Oryzias latipes: one gene and its partners. The protein of the gene in region 3 binds, or shares a complex with, the protein of the main gene of each other region. Links are inferred from orthologs where the notes say so. Each region holds a gene or a part of one and is shown on either strand. Other genes may lie near its edges. The genes, in order: nhp2, wrap53, tert and gar1.

Region 1 (4,237 bases), on a different chromosome or scaffold from region 3:
TAGCTAAAACTAAAGACCTGATGGTGACATCACACCTTTATGAGGTGAACTGTACTGCCTCCTGCAGGAGAGTCGAGGGAACAGCACCTTCTCTTGTGTCAGTGGAAGATGACAAACTCCCACCCTAACCCCTAACTACTAAAACTATTTAGTGCCCTGGATTTTAAAGAAAATTCAGACACAATGCTCAGTGCTTAATATTTTAAATGGCGAATATGACATAATTGATTTCACAAAGTTAAAATCTAATTCATATGAGCGTTTTGTCACCATTATTTATGAGTCCACTGAGTTCTGAAGATAAAAACATTGATGGTTTAATTAAAAAAATACATTTAAATACATTTTCTTTTGGCAAAAATTGTTCTGATACTATGCATTGTGGTCTATATTCACCGACATAGTGAGCCTTGATGCACACTGGTATTTCACAGAGACTTCTGGTAAATTTCTAGGGCACTGGATTTTGTAATTGTAGATTCAGACAGCTCTACAAAAAGGTGGACGCATTATGCAGTGAGTAGTGAAGGAATTCTGACACACCCCAGCAGCAGCAAAGTTAGAAACAGCTGAGAATGTTAAGTACCTGTAACTTGCAATAGAGGCACTTTATATCCATTTTAAACAGTTTAGGCCATATTCTGTAAAATTGTGCTTTTTACATTCAAGCGCTTTGTTTTTGAGAACTCCACCCACCAAAGACATCTCCATACCAGAATGCTGCTACTGTAACCCAAATATACTTCACTGGATGTAAGGAATTTCTAGTTTAGTGTATAAATATATTGGAAGCTATTTATATTTATTTGATTTTTGGTTGTGAGTGGAGATCATCTCAGTATTTACTTCCAGAACTTTCTTTCACAGAATGTATGTCCACCTTTAATGTTCTGGTCTCGTTTGAAAAAATGTGTTTCTCTGAAGAAAGCAAATAAAATTTGAAATATTTCCTCACTTTTACACAACGTACCAGAGGTTTAGTTATAACTTTACTGCTGTCGGTGGTGGTTCACCTTTCAGCAGATCCCTTCATGGATCGCCTCTGCAAATCCACTTTCATTACTGCTATTTTTGAAGTCCTCAAAGAGAGGAACACCTGCATAGGTGCGCTGCTGACTCACCACTTTGGAGGGGATGTAGGCGTACGGCAGGCTCCTGTCCTCACACATGACCGGTAGGTGGCAGTACACCTCGATGGGCAGAGTGTCGCCAGCTAAAACCACGATCCTGTAGAGCAACGACCAATCAGAAAACCAGCTTGCAAGCAATGAAGTCACTTCTGGTCACGCCCCCTCAGACTAAACACAAAAGACTGAGTCACACGGGTGACTGCGCATGTGCGGGGTCAAAGGTCGAGACCTCAATGGACAGCAGACAAGGTGACCGCTAAGCCAAAACGCAGCCATTACGATACATAACCAAAGACAAAGTACAGGTCCATCGGCAGATGCAGTTTGCCGTTGGTGGGTCAGCTAATGAAAAAATAGCAACAAAAAAACCAAAGCAGCAAATACTAGTAAGAACAGACCGTTCAGTGACATGAGTGAGCAATATTGACATTTCTGTCAGCCATGTTTTAGTTGCTTCCTCACCAACCCAAGAGCCTTTTCAATCACAAGAGGATCGGGTTATTGTTTTCTGTCAATGCAGAGAAGTGGCATTCTGATCTGTCAAAGAAACAGAAGAATGTCGTACGCCTTTAGATAGTCCATATGGAATATTTAAGCCTTCTACTAGTATTATAGATCTGGAATGTTTGAGTACTGCATCATGTGGGCCTAATGTTGAACCAGACAACTGTTATCCAGTCCTCAAGTTGTATCATGTCCAATGCTTCGCATGCATACGTCCTTTTTATCATCGTCTGCTGTGGGGATGAGGCCTCTGCAGCACACCTGTGTCGCAGCACACCTGTGTCGCAGCACACCTGTGTCGCAGCACACCTGTGTCGCAGCACACCTGTGTCGCAGCACATCTGGTGCATCGTCGGGCGCCTTTAGTTCGTTAACTGACCGGGCAGATGGTCCTGTTATTTTAACTTTGAATATGTTTCATCATGGCTAGGGTTAGAGACCATCACCAAGTTTGTCGTCCAATGAGGCCTTGACCTTTGACCCCGCGCATGCGCAGTCATATTTGTGAACTGGCCAACATCACTGAGTCGCTTTGACTAAACCCCAACTAAAACAGAAAAGAACTTGGTTGAAAGGTTTTGCAAAGTTTCTCATCATTAAAGTTCTAAAGAACTGTAGCTCCAGACAATAAAATGAGAAATGAAGAGCAGCACAGAGACAAACGGAAATTATCTGGATTCTAGAGAAAAACAAAGGATCCTATGAGAAGCTTCATCCACCAACATGCTTCTCCTCCTCCTGAGCAGCTCCGGCTCGTTCTAACTCACCCTTTCTCTCCCTTGTTGATGAACTTCTGCACCTCCTTCACTCCTCTGCGGATGTTCTTCACTCTGGCAGCTGAAACCACAAAAATGCTCAATACTGTCCTGGTCCAACCCGGTCCCAGTCGGACCCGGACTGATCCACAACCTGGAAACGTCCCGCACTCGTACCTTTCTTCACGCACTTGTAGAGCTTCTTGCTGAGCTTCCTGGAAGCCAGCGGCTGCGCGATCGGGTTCAGGTTCGCGATCAGTTCGTGATAGGAGCGCTCCGGGACGCCGGCGGGCTCCTCCGCATCCAATTTCTCCTTCTTCACCTTCGTCATTTCCAATCGATGATTTTCTGAGCCGAACGTCTGCTAACAACAACTTAACACGAGGACACCTCACGTGCTCAGCTTCCTCTGCTTCTTTTTTCAGACTACGGCTTATCACAGCGCCGCTAGCGGCCGGGCGGTGAAATGCAGCGTGACGTTTCAAAGTTTACATTCCAAATGACTTTAATTTGCTTCTTTCTTTCAAAAATGAAATTGTGTTTAAGTTCTTGTGGTGTTTTTCTCATGATAGTGAAAATATAAAAAGAAAATTAAGATTAAATGTGTGTTTTTGTGTGTTTCTTCTGTTATTTCTTTATTCAAATTGCTGTGAATCAGGAGTAGATGACAAACTTACAGTGTAAAAAAGCTTGTCGTTACCATTGAGAGTAAAATAAGAACTAGACTGAAAAACACCCCCCCACCCCCTCCGTGTACCAAAAAAGGAAGTACCTGCTGGTCCTAAGAAGGCAAAACCCCATAGACTTCTATTAAGAAATAAACAGCTGTTACTCTGTCATTCTATTGGTCAGAATAACCATTCTGGATCTGATAACTTTTATTAAAATCTTATTGCTAATCCTGATTTTTCTCATGGTATTTTTCCTGTAGTGAAAGTTATCTAAGTTATAAACTGACAAATCAGATGCCTTAATAAAAGTAGCGTCAGAAGTTTGAAACGTTTGATTGACAGACCCTCCCTATCCGCTCTCAGTGGAAAGGGGTGTGGCCTTCTAACAGGCTCACTCCTGATTGGAGAGAGTGGTTGCAACAGAAATGTAGACAAGCCAATCACGGCTTACTGAGGTCATCTGCTTCTCACATGGTGAAGGACATATCGCAGAAAAATGGGGACTGAATTGACTTCAGTTGGTTGCAACCAGAAGCAAGGCATTTTCTATGGATGATATCACACGCCATTTATCCAGTTGTAAATTTAACAGTCAATTGTCAAACAAACTGAAATTGATGGGCCACACGCTATGGGGTCAAATTATATGAAACCCATCAAGACGACTGTTGTTGTGAATTTGGGCTATACAAATAAAATTGAATTGAATTGAAATTAGGATCAGGTAAAAAAAAAAATAACTCAAAAGTACACATTGAAAACGCCAAAAGAAATAATGAAAATTAAAAAAACTTGACCCCTAAGTTTAAACAAGAACTTCAAACCTTAAACTGATACCAAATGAAAAATAATATTTATTTGTTTTGCATTTTCAACGTTTGTTTCCTCTGTTTCTTTCCTCCTTAGCTTTCAGTTTTCACTGAGAGTGCCTAATTTTACTTGGGGGCGGGGCTTTAAGGTCATTGGCTGCGTTTACATGGACAAAAGTAATCGGAATGAACACCTGATCAGAAGAAAAATGCGTCATGTAAACACGCCGTTCGGAATACTCTGCCCCGATCAGACTCGTTTGGATCAAAATTTCTTTCTGATCAAGATAGGTGGGTTATGCCGATTGTTGATCCGATCGTGGTGCATGTAAACGGTTCATTCTGATCATGGGTCACTACTGCTCTGG
Region 2 (3,565 bases), on a different chromosome or scaffold from region 3:
AATAGATGCGCTGGTTTGTAGTGACGTTCCTCTTCAGAGAGAACACCACCTTCCCGGGCTCCCTCAGATCCCAGCAGAGGATCTCTGGATCCTGGTGGCACAAGGACGCAGAATCCAATCACAGCTTTAGTACGTTTGTTCTTAAGTGTTAGGGCCACACACACACAAAAAAAAGAAGCAAAATTACGAGATTTAAAGTCTTAAATTTACAGGAAAGAAAACTTGTAAAATTGAGATTTAAAGTTGTAAATTTGTAAGTAAAAAAAAAAAAATCGTAAAATTACGAGATTCAAAGACATAGATTTAAAAGAAAACACTAGTAAATTAGGAGATTTAAAGTAGTAAAATTACGAGAGAAAAAACGTGAATTTCTGAGATTTAAAGTCTTAAATTTACGGGGGGAAAAAACTCGTAAAATTATGAGATTCTAAGTCGTAAATTTGCAAATAAAATAAAAAAATCGTGAAATTACGAGATTTAAAGTCGTAGATTTAAAAGAAAACATTAACAAAATCACGAGATATAAAAGTAGTAAATTTACGAGAATTTTTTTTTTTTAGAAATTTCCGAAATTTAAGGTCTTAAATTTACGGGAAAAGAACTCATAAAATTACGAGATTCAAAGTAGTAAATTTAAGAGAAAAAACATGTTAAATTTACGAGATTCAATGTGTTAAATTTACGGAAAAAAATATATGACTTTTTTCATGTAAATTTATGAAATTAAAATTGAGCATGTTTCAATTGTATGCTCGAATTGAGCATACAGAGCAGCAGCAGAGCGGACAGACTCAACCGACACAACAGGTGAGCTGAATGTTCATTGATAACATTACAATTTTTTTTGATTTACAATTTATCAATGTTTTATTCATTGATGGGTGTCCCTGCAGGCAGATGTCCACTTCAATCCGTTCTACTTCCATAAAAACCAACACCTCTAAGTCTTTGTGACACTTCCGTCTGAGGAGGAGGAACACTTTCTGGCATTTTCAACGTTGTAATGCTAATAGAACAACACATTGGTGTTCTGATGACAGATTCATGAGGTAATGAGACAAATGCACTTCAGGGTGTGTGAATGGAAGAGAAAATAAAGTATTGGTCCTCTACACCCAAACGTGTCTCTTGAGTTCCTTATTTTACACATGAAACTCCGACACTGAACCTCGGAAAGGCGACTACACTGACAATAATCTCATTCTGAGTCGCCAAGAGGTTCAGAATATCTGTGTTTTTGAAACCTATCCAGAAATAAAACCTCACAGAACGCTCCACATATTTCATCTTCCAGCAAGGCTCCAATAAACAGGCACCTTTGAGGTTTTTTCTTGTTTAACTTTTGACTTTTTTCTTGTTAATTTACGCGTTTTAAAGTCGTAAATGTACAGCTCAGCTGAACAGGTGAGCTACAGCCAATAAGACACACACGCCTCCTCTGACTCTCCAGCTCCACAAACACCACAAAGGAAACCAGGGAGAAGCGTGAAAATGTTGACCTTGCGCCCCCCGGTGTACAGGTAGTTGCCGTCGGGGGAGAAGAGCAGGTGGGTGATGCCTCCGTGGTGCAGCGTGGGCAGCAGAGCCAGCAGGGCGCCGTCCTGACAGGAGTACAGGCCGGCGCAGCGCGAGTACGAGCCGCAGGCGTAGACCGACTGGCACGGACTGAAGGCGAAGCAGGAAATGATGCCGTTCTGGCCCCGCCTCTTCACTGCAGCGAGGACAGATCATTAAAAAATAAAATAAAACTTTTTGTCACAAATAGGCTAAAGTTATTTTTCTGCAGACGGAAAAATCTGCAGACGGACGACCAGACGTCGGCTCCGAGAAGCTTTGGTGGCCTCGTCATGAAGCTCCGGTTCCAGCAGTAGGCGCTGTTGGACGGAGAACTTTGGCTTTTCCTGCAGTTTCGCTGTTTTGATCGAATCTCTTCAATTTCTGGGTTGAAAAATGACGAACCGCCTCCTTGAATGCATTTTTTGTTCCTGCTGATTCTTCAGATCAGAGATTCTTTAAATTCAACACGTTGTGGTTTTTTTAACCACAAAAAAAAACCAGGCAGAAGCTATGGTTTCTCATGAATCTGGCATAAAACCTGCAGCAAATCCAGTTATTTCTTCAAACCTGGATCCTCTCGATTCAGCGGACGGATCTTTGCAGAATTAGCAGAATCCCGTCCAGCTTTATTTACTGTCATTAAACCTTCAGTTTCAGCCAAATTCTGCACTGAATTCTACAAAATTGTACTATTCTGCAAGTCAAATTGCTGCTCCACTTTAATGGGTTTGAATTTACCGTATCATTATTTATTTAGTTATTTTTTAATCACTTTTGTCTCAAGCCGATTTTTTCAGGGAACTTCAATGATTTTTTTTTCCTGTTCCCTACGATGAAGCGTCAGAAATCTGCACATTGGTAGAAATTTTCTGATGAAGGTCTTCATCAGGTGTTGATGGAATAAAAACAGATGTTTGCTATAAATCTCACCGCATCAAAGTCATACTTCGATCTATTGTGAAAAGGGTTCCCTGTGTTTTTTTTTTAAATTACAATTTGAACGTTTCTTGGCCTGAAACCGGCGTTGTGTTCTAGGACATAGTTTCTGCAGAGCGGCTGAAGTTCACTAGAAATTCACGCAGTCCTTATTCACGACAATTTCAATAAAGAAACGCTCAGAAATGCAGAATTTGAGCTCAGATTTCTTTACTTGAGAAAAATGCGACAAGATGGTAAAAATTAAGCCTGCACAATAAATCTAACGTTATCGCGACATCAAGATGTGCAAAACTCGGTGAAAATTGCGATAAATGCTAACCTAATGCGTTGAATGCTATAAGGTATTCAACCCCTTGTTTTCCTGTATCTCTCTCTTTATTATAGTGCCTTAACTCCTCCTCCAATGCCACAGCTGGGTCTCAAACCTGCGAGCTTCTGCACCAAAAATTCCCCATTTATTTCAATGGAGGCAGAAATCCTGGAATATCTTGAAAGGTTCAGGGATTCAGCGGTTCGCGCTCTTTCCTCACAGCAAGACACCACCCCGGTTCAAGTCCCGGCTGGGGGACCTGAACCAGAACATCAACGGGGGGCCTTTCTGTGTGGAGTTTGCATGTTCTCCCCGTGCATGGGTGGGTTTTCTCAGACATACTCGTCTACATAGGAGGCGGACATCTAACATCAAAGGGCTCCATCCGATTGGTCAAACGCATGAAGGGATTTATTTGATGCGTTAAATACTTTAAGTTGCCATGAGATTGTTTTAGCACATTTAAGGTAGCCATTTAACGCAATTTTCGCAGACTTTTGCGATGTGCGCTTCCTCCGCTGGTCGGTGAAGGCTTGGCGGCTGTTGCCATGACAACGCGTCTTCTTCTAAATGTCCGCTAACACTGACTAACTTTGCACGTGAGCACGGTACGAGCGGGATGGCGTTAGGGTCGGGCGATGTCCCCTAAATTGGCCGTTGACGATGATTGCTGTCAACCATCGGGATGGACGATGACATCGTCGGGGGGGGGGGCTGTTTTTTACATTTTTCGTTCTTGTATAACTGCTATTCGTTATT
Region 3 (3,565 bases):
CTGGTTTCAATGCTAAACCTCAAACATCAGGGTTTTTTATTTCACTTGGCTGCACTTTGTTTGTGTACTTGTGACAGTAAAAGAAATCCCTGGAGGCTGATGACGTTTCCGTGCACATATTTACAGACAAGTTATTTTTAAAGCCTAACCATATCTTCTTTGTGGAAAACTACCGCAGCGAGTGAATCAAAGTCCAGAGATACAGGCGTCTGAGGAATGAGCCAGGCTCCATGTCAGAAGCTGGATTCTTCTCAAGTTTTTCATTCATCAACTTGAGCTTGTTTTACGACACCGGTTTATCACCGGGTTTTATCGCTTAAGTGGTTTTTAAGAGATGACCAAAACATATTTACTGTGCTTTACAGAACACGTAAGATTCCATTTGCTCGTTTAAACAAAAGCCTTGAATGTTCATCATGTCAATCTGAGAGAAAAATTACAACGTTTTGCTTCCATTTTCTTTTCTTTTAATCACTTTAACAAAATAAATCCTCATGTGAAAGCCATGCTGTCAAACTGCCCACACATTTCCGTTCCTGTGGCTGCTTTTACCTGTGGACTCACATCTGCATAGCCAGGAAGTCCAGCAGAGCCCGGGGGTTGGCGGCCTGCCGGACCCTAGCCAGCCTCAGGTCTCCCAGAAGCCTCTCCAACCGGCGCTTCCCTGTCCAGAGGGTGAAAGCAGATATTGAGATATTACAGTTCATCTCCGAACTGTAAAATCCACCCATCTGAGCTGTAAAATCCCATAACAGCTGGTTATAAAACTGCTAAATACACCTGAAAACATTCAGATTGGCCAGCGTGGATACAGCCATCACAGCATCCACCTTTAAGAGAAGATGTATTCCAGGAAAGTTCCTGTGTTTTCATGTTTGGTCTTTCTGTAACAGCCGTGCTGCAGTTCTGACCATAAAAACCCAACGCCAGAGTTCATGCTCGACTGCATCACGGATATTCCTGTACGCCTCTCAGCTGATGCCACCTTCAGGCAAAACCCAGCCTCATCCAGGAGATTTCAGATTCTCCATCAGCTCAGCAAACCTCTCTGTCTCCTGAGGACAGATGTTTTATGAAGAAACAAGTTCAGTAAACAGAGTCCTGATCCATTCTCAGCGAGCAGCTTTGTCATGATATTCATCAATAGTGCCAAAGCTTCTAAACCCACATTCAGAGAAAAGAAATGTTCTAAAAGAATCCTCCTGAATTCAAACACGGGATTGAATAAAGAACTCAAAGATCCCCTCTAATCGTCTCTTCATCTATTGTTAAAGCGTTCCCAGTGGTCTTTAAATCGTGATTGTCATTTTTGGACAAAATTTTTTAAAAGCCGAGTCATTTTCTAGGACATAGTTTCTGCAGAGCAGCAGCAGTTCTTTAGAAATTCACCCACCTCTGAGTTGTGCACAGAGCAAGCCCACCCCCTTCCTCTCCCATTGCTGAGAGCTCTTTGTTTACACGCTCACCTGCTGGCTTACAGCCTCTCTCACCCCCAACCTAACATTAGCAGGGCACCAAACGTGTTAAGCAGTATCAGATCTATCCAGTCGTACAGTTTAGATCCAGATCAGCTCAGACCAGGAAAACAAAGACAAACATGGATCTGTTGGTCTGACAGAGGATGATCAGAATGGAGCAGAGCAGGAAGCTTGAGGCTGCCCAGCGTATTTTCTTCTTCACAAATATGGTCTTTTTTAAACGACATTTTTTATCTGCTCCTGGTTTAATGCAATCTGAATAAAGAAATACTCAGAACTACATTTTTGACCTTCATCTTCTTAACATATGTCCTCCATCATCAGAAAAACGGTTCAAGAGCAGTGAAAGCCTTTGGCTGATCAAACCTTTGAAAGGTCAAAATGATCTGCTAAAATTCTCAAAACGCTGCCAAGTTTTGTCTTCTGCATATTCAGCTGATGATTTGAAGTGTTAAAAGTCTTAGAATATTTCGTTCAGGTGTTGAGTGACTTTCATTTTTATACTTAGTGCTTGGTGGAACACCCACATTTGTGCAGGCGTGGCAGCAGGTCTTTGTAGACGGGTCGGTGTTTAGACAGAACCCGCAGGAAGGCCAGACAGAAGAGCAGCTCCACGGCCTCGTACTGAACGCTGCCCTTCTGAGCTCCATCCCCCAAAACCAACCCTGGAGGAGAGAGGGGAAGCTGAGCACACAACCTGGCAGAGGAGACAGGGCTCCAACCTTCTGTTCGGGGTTTCTCTGAGCCATAAAAGACAAAAACACTAAACTGATCCACATCTTAATAGGTGAAGCTGTGATGCAACACTGACGTTCTGGTTTGCAGTCACACTTATTGTCGAAGCACCAGGAGATCTAAGGATCTTAACGGCTTCTTCTTGGTTCTTCAAACCAAAGGTTTGGTGGTTTGTTCCAGGCTTTTCTGAACCTCCCTGTGATCATAGTCATGGTGGAGAGTCTGGAATCTGACTGACTGCTTGAGTTCAAGTGAGCCTGAGATGAGAAACTCACCTGGATTCACTCATCTTCCTCCGCTCTGCATGGGTTTTTCTAGATTTGCTGTTTCTTGTTTTATTATTCTAACAAACCAACCATTAAAATGACTAACAGACCGTTTCTTTGAGCTGGAAAAGAGAATAAAGTAAAGTACCTGTGTTGCTGCGCCTGATGAGAGCGTTGGCATAGTGCGCCATGTCCCAGATCATCTGCTGGAAGTACGTTGGGTTCTTTGCGACCGTCTGGGCGAAGGGTAAACTCTGAACACAGACATGGAACCTGGACAGAGCGGACACAGAGGAGGCTGCAGGTCTGCAGACCAAAGGCTGAAACACCTGCATGTTCTGAGACGCTAAACACCAAAAGACTTTATTTGAACAAAGGATTGGACTTTGAAAAAGTCTTTAAATGAGCAAAAGAGAGACATAAACAGTTTTAAAGTCCGATCCCATCTATTTTCAGAGCGTTCCCAGTGGTCTTTTAGTTAGGATGACGCCACTTTTAGCCAAAATCAAACATTTCTGTTGTTTTCTAGGACATAGTTTCTGCAGAGCAGCAGGAATTCAGTAGAAATTCACCTCTGATTTGTGGACGGGACCGTTGGCATAAAGCAACCACACCCTCCCTTCCCCTCCCCTCCCCTCCCTGCTGCTGAGAGCTCTCTGTTTTCACACTGCTACCTTCCAGCACATCAAAATTCCAACCTAACATTACTGTGAAACAAAAATGGTGATCAACATCGTAGCTATCCAGCCATTCAATTCTGATCCAGATACCAGCTCAGACCAGGAAAACAAAGACGTTCATGGATCCGTTTGTCTGATGGTGGACGATCAGAATGGAGAAGGAAGACTTTGGACCACCGATTGTAGATTACTAGAACTTATTTTGTTACAACTAGAAGCTGTTTCAAAGGCATTTTTCATCTGCTCCTTATTCACAATGATTTGAATAAAGAAATACTGACAAGTGCAATTTTGAGCTTAATCTACTCTATATACACTATTTTACCAAAAGTATTGGCTCATCCATCCAAATGATCAGGTGTCCTCATCACTTCTTCTGGTCACAGGTGTCTTACATTAAGCCCTC
Region 4 (4,181 bases), on a different chromosome or scaffold from region 3:
CTATGTCTGACTGAGCACAGCTCGGATCGTCAGCACACACAGCGGTTTGAGCTTCAAAGCAGAAATGTCGCTCAGTCCTTAGAAAACATTCAAACAATCACGCGGATTTGTGTTTCCAGTCGTGTCCCGACTAAATAAAGGCTGATGTTATTCTTACATGTTTACGTGCAGCCAGCAAGCAGCACCACCCAAAGCTAATGTTGTTAGCCCGTGTTAGCATACTGCTAATCCTGGCTTCGTTCAGAAAAAGCACTGACCACACGGATTAAAATTCAAATGATGAGCGAACAGGTGTTTCATAATAACCGTAACATTATTAAAGGCACGTTTAGAAGATTGGCTCGTAAATTACTGAGCTGACATGTCAATGTATAAAGCCGCTCGGCGCTGTTTAACATTGTTTTGTATTGAATTGTTACATTCAATAAAGTTTGGAAAAAAAAGCCGCTCGGCGGAAGTTGTATCCCCTTCCGGTTTTCAAACTGCGCATGTGCGAATGATTTATTCCGACCGAAAGTGTGACCTTAGTGAACGTTTTTATATTCTGAAAACATTTTTCTGGGCCCATCTACACGGTTGGATTCTAATCCGACCATTGATCCCATCAAGATATTTTGTACATGTAACCGCGGCTTATGGTGTCGACGCGCAACGTGGCGGGGGCGTGGCATCACGATGGTGGTCTCTCCATCGGGATGTCAGTCACCCATCACGATGGACGATGATATCGTCCATCGGCACAACCCTACCCCTAAGTGAGTTACAGCTGCTCATTTCTCTGTAGAAGTCTATGGAAATTTGGCTTCTTGGAGACAGCGGGAACTTCCTGTTTGGAACTCTACGGGAGAGGAGTCACTCAGTCCAGTTCTCATATACAGTCAACTGTCTAAACAGAGGGAATTGTAAGGAACTGGGTTGAAAAATATGAAGGGTGTCAGTTGGTCTGGACTGAGTCTGCTTAGTTTGGTCCAGATTGAGTCCTGAGCGTTGCATTGGGTCTGTAGTCAGACTGCCTTCAACCGGACATTTCTGTTTCCAACCAACCAAAGCTTGTAAAAAAAAAAACGTGTGACTAAAGATCTCTTCAGTCATTGGCCAGGAATTACGAGGGCAGTCAAAGACTAGTGCACTTTGCAATCCCATTGGTCCAGTGGAGGCTGGCTGTAGGGCGGCTAACGGCAAGAGTCACTGATAAGACTTTATGACATGCAGATGGTCGGGAAAACAGTGAGAAGCAACGTGCGTCACATTAAAAGTTGTTTTAATGAGCCTGCATTTATCCAATCACATTTCAATGAGTTGCTGTGTCTCATCGTCATGGTTACTTCCTTTTCCGTTTACATCCCATACGGAGCGGCTACGGTGGCCATTTTTGGTTCCGTTGTTCCACTCTGGGAACAGACTGTATTCAGACTGAAGAACCTTAGAGTACACCAAAGCTCAGTCCGATTGGAAACGAACTGAGAGACCACCTCCACAGATGGAACCAAGCGGTTCCTGGTCCCGCACCAGGGCCCACTTGGGTTTATTCAGACTGAAAATTTGTTCCAGATTGTCGGGGGAAACGAACTTCTGGTTCACTTTAAGAGAACCAACTGTGTGGAGTCTGAATCCACCCATAGACTGATACTATGGGGTAAGGAATGTGTCAAAAAGAAACGCATTTATGAAGACAAAGTTGTGCGGCTGGTTAGAATCTGGACCAATCAGCAGGCTGTTTGTTGGCACATATGTCACGCTAAACTGAGACTTATGAACGTTAAATCAAAGATAGGGAAACAGCGAAATGAGACGTGTTAAAACGCAAAATTTTTTTTTGAAAGCAGAAAAAAATTTAAGAACTATTTAAGCAACTATTTAATACCTTCACTTGCTACTTAAAAAGTTTTGTTTGCAATGTGTTGGCATAAATATCACTTCATTCTCAAAAAATACGGCAGGACATCGCCATTATAATCTGTTTTTTTTAAACAAAACTATGATAAAGATAATTTCCCTTCTAGAAGATCAATAACATTTCAGAAAGTTTAATTCTGTTTTTAGTTTAATAAACGAGGCTCAACGCGCATGCTCACTCAGTTGAATTGAATATCGGGACTCTGTGTATATGCCAATGACCACATGGCGTATATTTGATACTTTTTTAAAGAAAAAAACAACAACACAATGAACAAAGAAAACACCAAAAGCTGAACTGACAAACGCACCAAAACCATGAGCTCCCATGATGCACCTCGCCCGCTGATTGCTATGGCAGTGGGCGGAAACCGAGTCGTTACAGTAAGAATGCAAACAAATGTTTTACTCCTTACAGTCTTACAAAATAGAGCACACAGATAGCCGCCCGCCGCTTTACAACCGCGGAGTGATCCCGTCAACGAATCCAGTCTTCAGCCGCGTGCGACCGTCCCGTCCCGTGTCCGCTGTGCAAATAGTGCGAGTGTTTAGCTGGCAAACACAGCGACACGACAGGTTGCAGTAACCAGAAACACGCGTGGAACCGTGTCCGGAACTTTAACGCGCCCTGAGGCTCCCCCGGTGCCTCACGCGCTAAAAAAACCGGCTTCGGTGAAAGGATCAGCGAGAGCACGTGCTTCCCGGAGCAGCTCACCGTAAACACGACCGTTTAGGCGCGAAACCACCGCTTTCCAGTGGGTTCTTTACACACCCCGCTCATCTGCTGATAAATAATATGACACGTGGAAAACTATTACCCAAGAAAATAAGATGTAAAGGCAAGAACTTACCTGTTATCGCAGAGGAAATGTCCACGTGACAACACGCGCAAGCGCAGGCTGCCGTAAAGGTTGTCTCTGATGTCGCACAGGAGGTTGCCAGATCAGATCATTTCCCGACAAAACTACGCAGTAAAATCAGTAAAGGCAAACACAACCCGGACTAAACTTCCCCCCACATAAAAAAGCTAAACTAAGACTTTTTAATGGTAATTTACAAAATCAAGATAGATTTATTTTATAAAAATATATAAATCAATAAACTATTAGTTGTCGTCTCCTTTTGAGTGATTTGTTGTTTTTATCAGTCTCTTTTTAATCTTTTGCATTTTCTGTGTGTATTTTCTACACAATTGTTCGTGCGGTTCCTAGTAACTTGAGCTGTATTCATAACTTTTTTTGTGGTATTTGCATCATTTGTTATTTAAAAACACTTAAAAAATTATATTAACAAGAAACTTAGCAAATGCAATAGGAAACCTCTGCTGCTGAGTTACACTACGATTTTCCTCTGACTGCACAACCATGACCAGAAATCCAACTTGCATCTGGATCAGACTTCAGCATGTCATTTTCAGGTGTTTGACTGCTTTAAGGTCTGTCACTGCTTCTTTTCATTTGTGAAGTAGGACTAAACTCAGTTTAATCTTTAAAGTAGAATAATATTGGTTATATTGTGTGGGCTATGTGTGAAAACAAAGATTTCAAACTTGTATATCAGTAATTTTTTTCACAATAAGCCTCACAATAGCTAAAGACTGAAATCAACCCCATGTTCCTTTTGACCTTTAGTTGACTGTAAATGTAAATCAGCACAATAATTTGTGGTTATTTTTTTTTACCTTATTCCATAATTTTACACCTCCAGTTCAATATGTTCAATTTTTTTTTGTTTTAGGTGTTAATTGTTTCTGTAATATTGATAGTTATTTGGATGAATACTTTTTTATGTGTGAATAATATTTTAAAGTAATTCTAAAGTAATTTACTACAGCTCTTTCTAGTGACATCTGGTTAACCAACAAAACTCTTTAAGCATAATTTCTAGAAAAACATTTTTTTAAATTTAAAACAAAACATCAGTTTTGAGAAAAACAGCCTGAATTTGTTCATTTTGCCAACTGCAGATGTGTCCAGCCCAAAGAGTTCCAAAGAAGCGGAAACATGACCGATCTGGCAACCCTTGTCTTCTTTGTGTCATAAGCCGACCTGCCCCGTCCTTAAAGAGACAGACCACTCTGACTTCATCAAAAGTTTCGCCAGACAGACGCTGCTCCAATAGTGGAGATGTTTAAGTGTTTGTTGGCTTTTTAAAATTCTGCTGCGCGGGTAACTATGGCAACAGCTGGTCAGGGAGGAATGCTTTTGTTTTCCGAGAGTGTGTGTGTGAGAGAGAGAGAGGAAAGAGTGTGTGATTGTGTTTGTAACCAGTCGTTGATAGTCACA

The links.
Region 1: tert (region 3) and nhp2 share a complex: the UniProt entries of both Homo sapiens proteins name them as parts of the telomerase holoenzyme complex. The link is inferred for Oryzias latipes from reciprocal best matches to the Homo sapiens genes TERT and NHP2.
Region 2: tert (region 3) and wrap53 share a complex: the UniProt entries of both Homo sapiens proteins name them as parts of the telomerase holoenzyme complex. The link is inferred for Oryzias latipes from reciprocal best matches to the Homo sapiens genes TERT and WRAP53.
Region 4: tert (region 3) and gar1 share a complex: the UniProt entries of both Homo sapiens proteins name them as parts of the telomerase holoenzyme complex. The link is inferred for Oryzias latipes from reciprocal best matches to the Homo sapiens genes TERT and GAR1.

Annotation. Positions count from the first base shown.
Region 1 is NC_019872.2:3,233,512-3,237,748, forward strand, and holds the start of nhp2 (H/ACA ribonucleoprotein complex subunit 2), read right to left. Parts: upstream 2,825-4,237; 5' UTR 2,721-2,824; coding exon 2,567-2,720; intron 2,472-2,566; coding exon 2,402-2,471; intron 1,228-2,401; coding exon 1,122-1,227; intron 1-1,121. UniProt on the Homo sapiens protein: Required for ribosome biogenesis and telomere maintenance. Part of the H/ACA small nucleolar ribonucleoprotein (H/ACA snoRNP) complex, which catalyzes pseudouridylation of rRNA.
Region 2 is NC_019876.2:6,280,739-6,284,303, reverse strand, and holds part of wrap53 (telomerase Cajal body protein 1), read right to left. Parts: intron 1,712-3,565; coding exon 1,500-1,711; intron 92-1,499; coding exon 1-91. UniProt on the Homo sapiens protein: RNA chaperone that plays a key role in telomere maintenance and RNA localization to Cajal bodies. Specifically recognizes and binds the Cajal body box (CAB box) present in both small Cajal body RNAs (scaRNAs) and telomerase RNA template component (TERC).
Region 3 is NC_019869.2:25,694,999-25,698,563, forward strand, and holds part of tert (telomerase reverse transcriptase), read right to left. Parts: intron 2,753-3,565; coding exon 2,628-2,752; intron 2,144-2,627; coding exon 2,006-2,143; intron 665-2,005; coding exon 561-664; 3' UTR 553-560; exon of another isoform or gene 1-552. UniProt on the Homo sapiens protein: Telomerase is a ribonucleoprotein enzyme essential for the replication of chromosome termini in most eukaryotes. Active in progenitor and cancer cells. Inactive, or very low activity, in normal somatic cells.
Region 4 is NC_019868.2:3,863,719-3,867,899, forward strand, and holds the start of gar1 (H/ACA ribonucleoprotein complex subunit 1), read right to left. Parts: upstream 2,836-4,181; 5' UTR 2,748-2,835; intron 2,629-2,747; exon of another isoform or gene 2,612-2,628; intron 1-2,611. UniProt on the Homo sapiens protein: Required for ribosome biogenesis and telomere maintenance. Part of the H/ACA small nucleolar ribonucleoprotein (H/ACA snoRNP) complex, which catalyzes pseudouridylation of rRNA.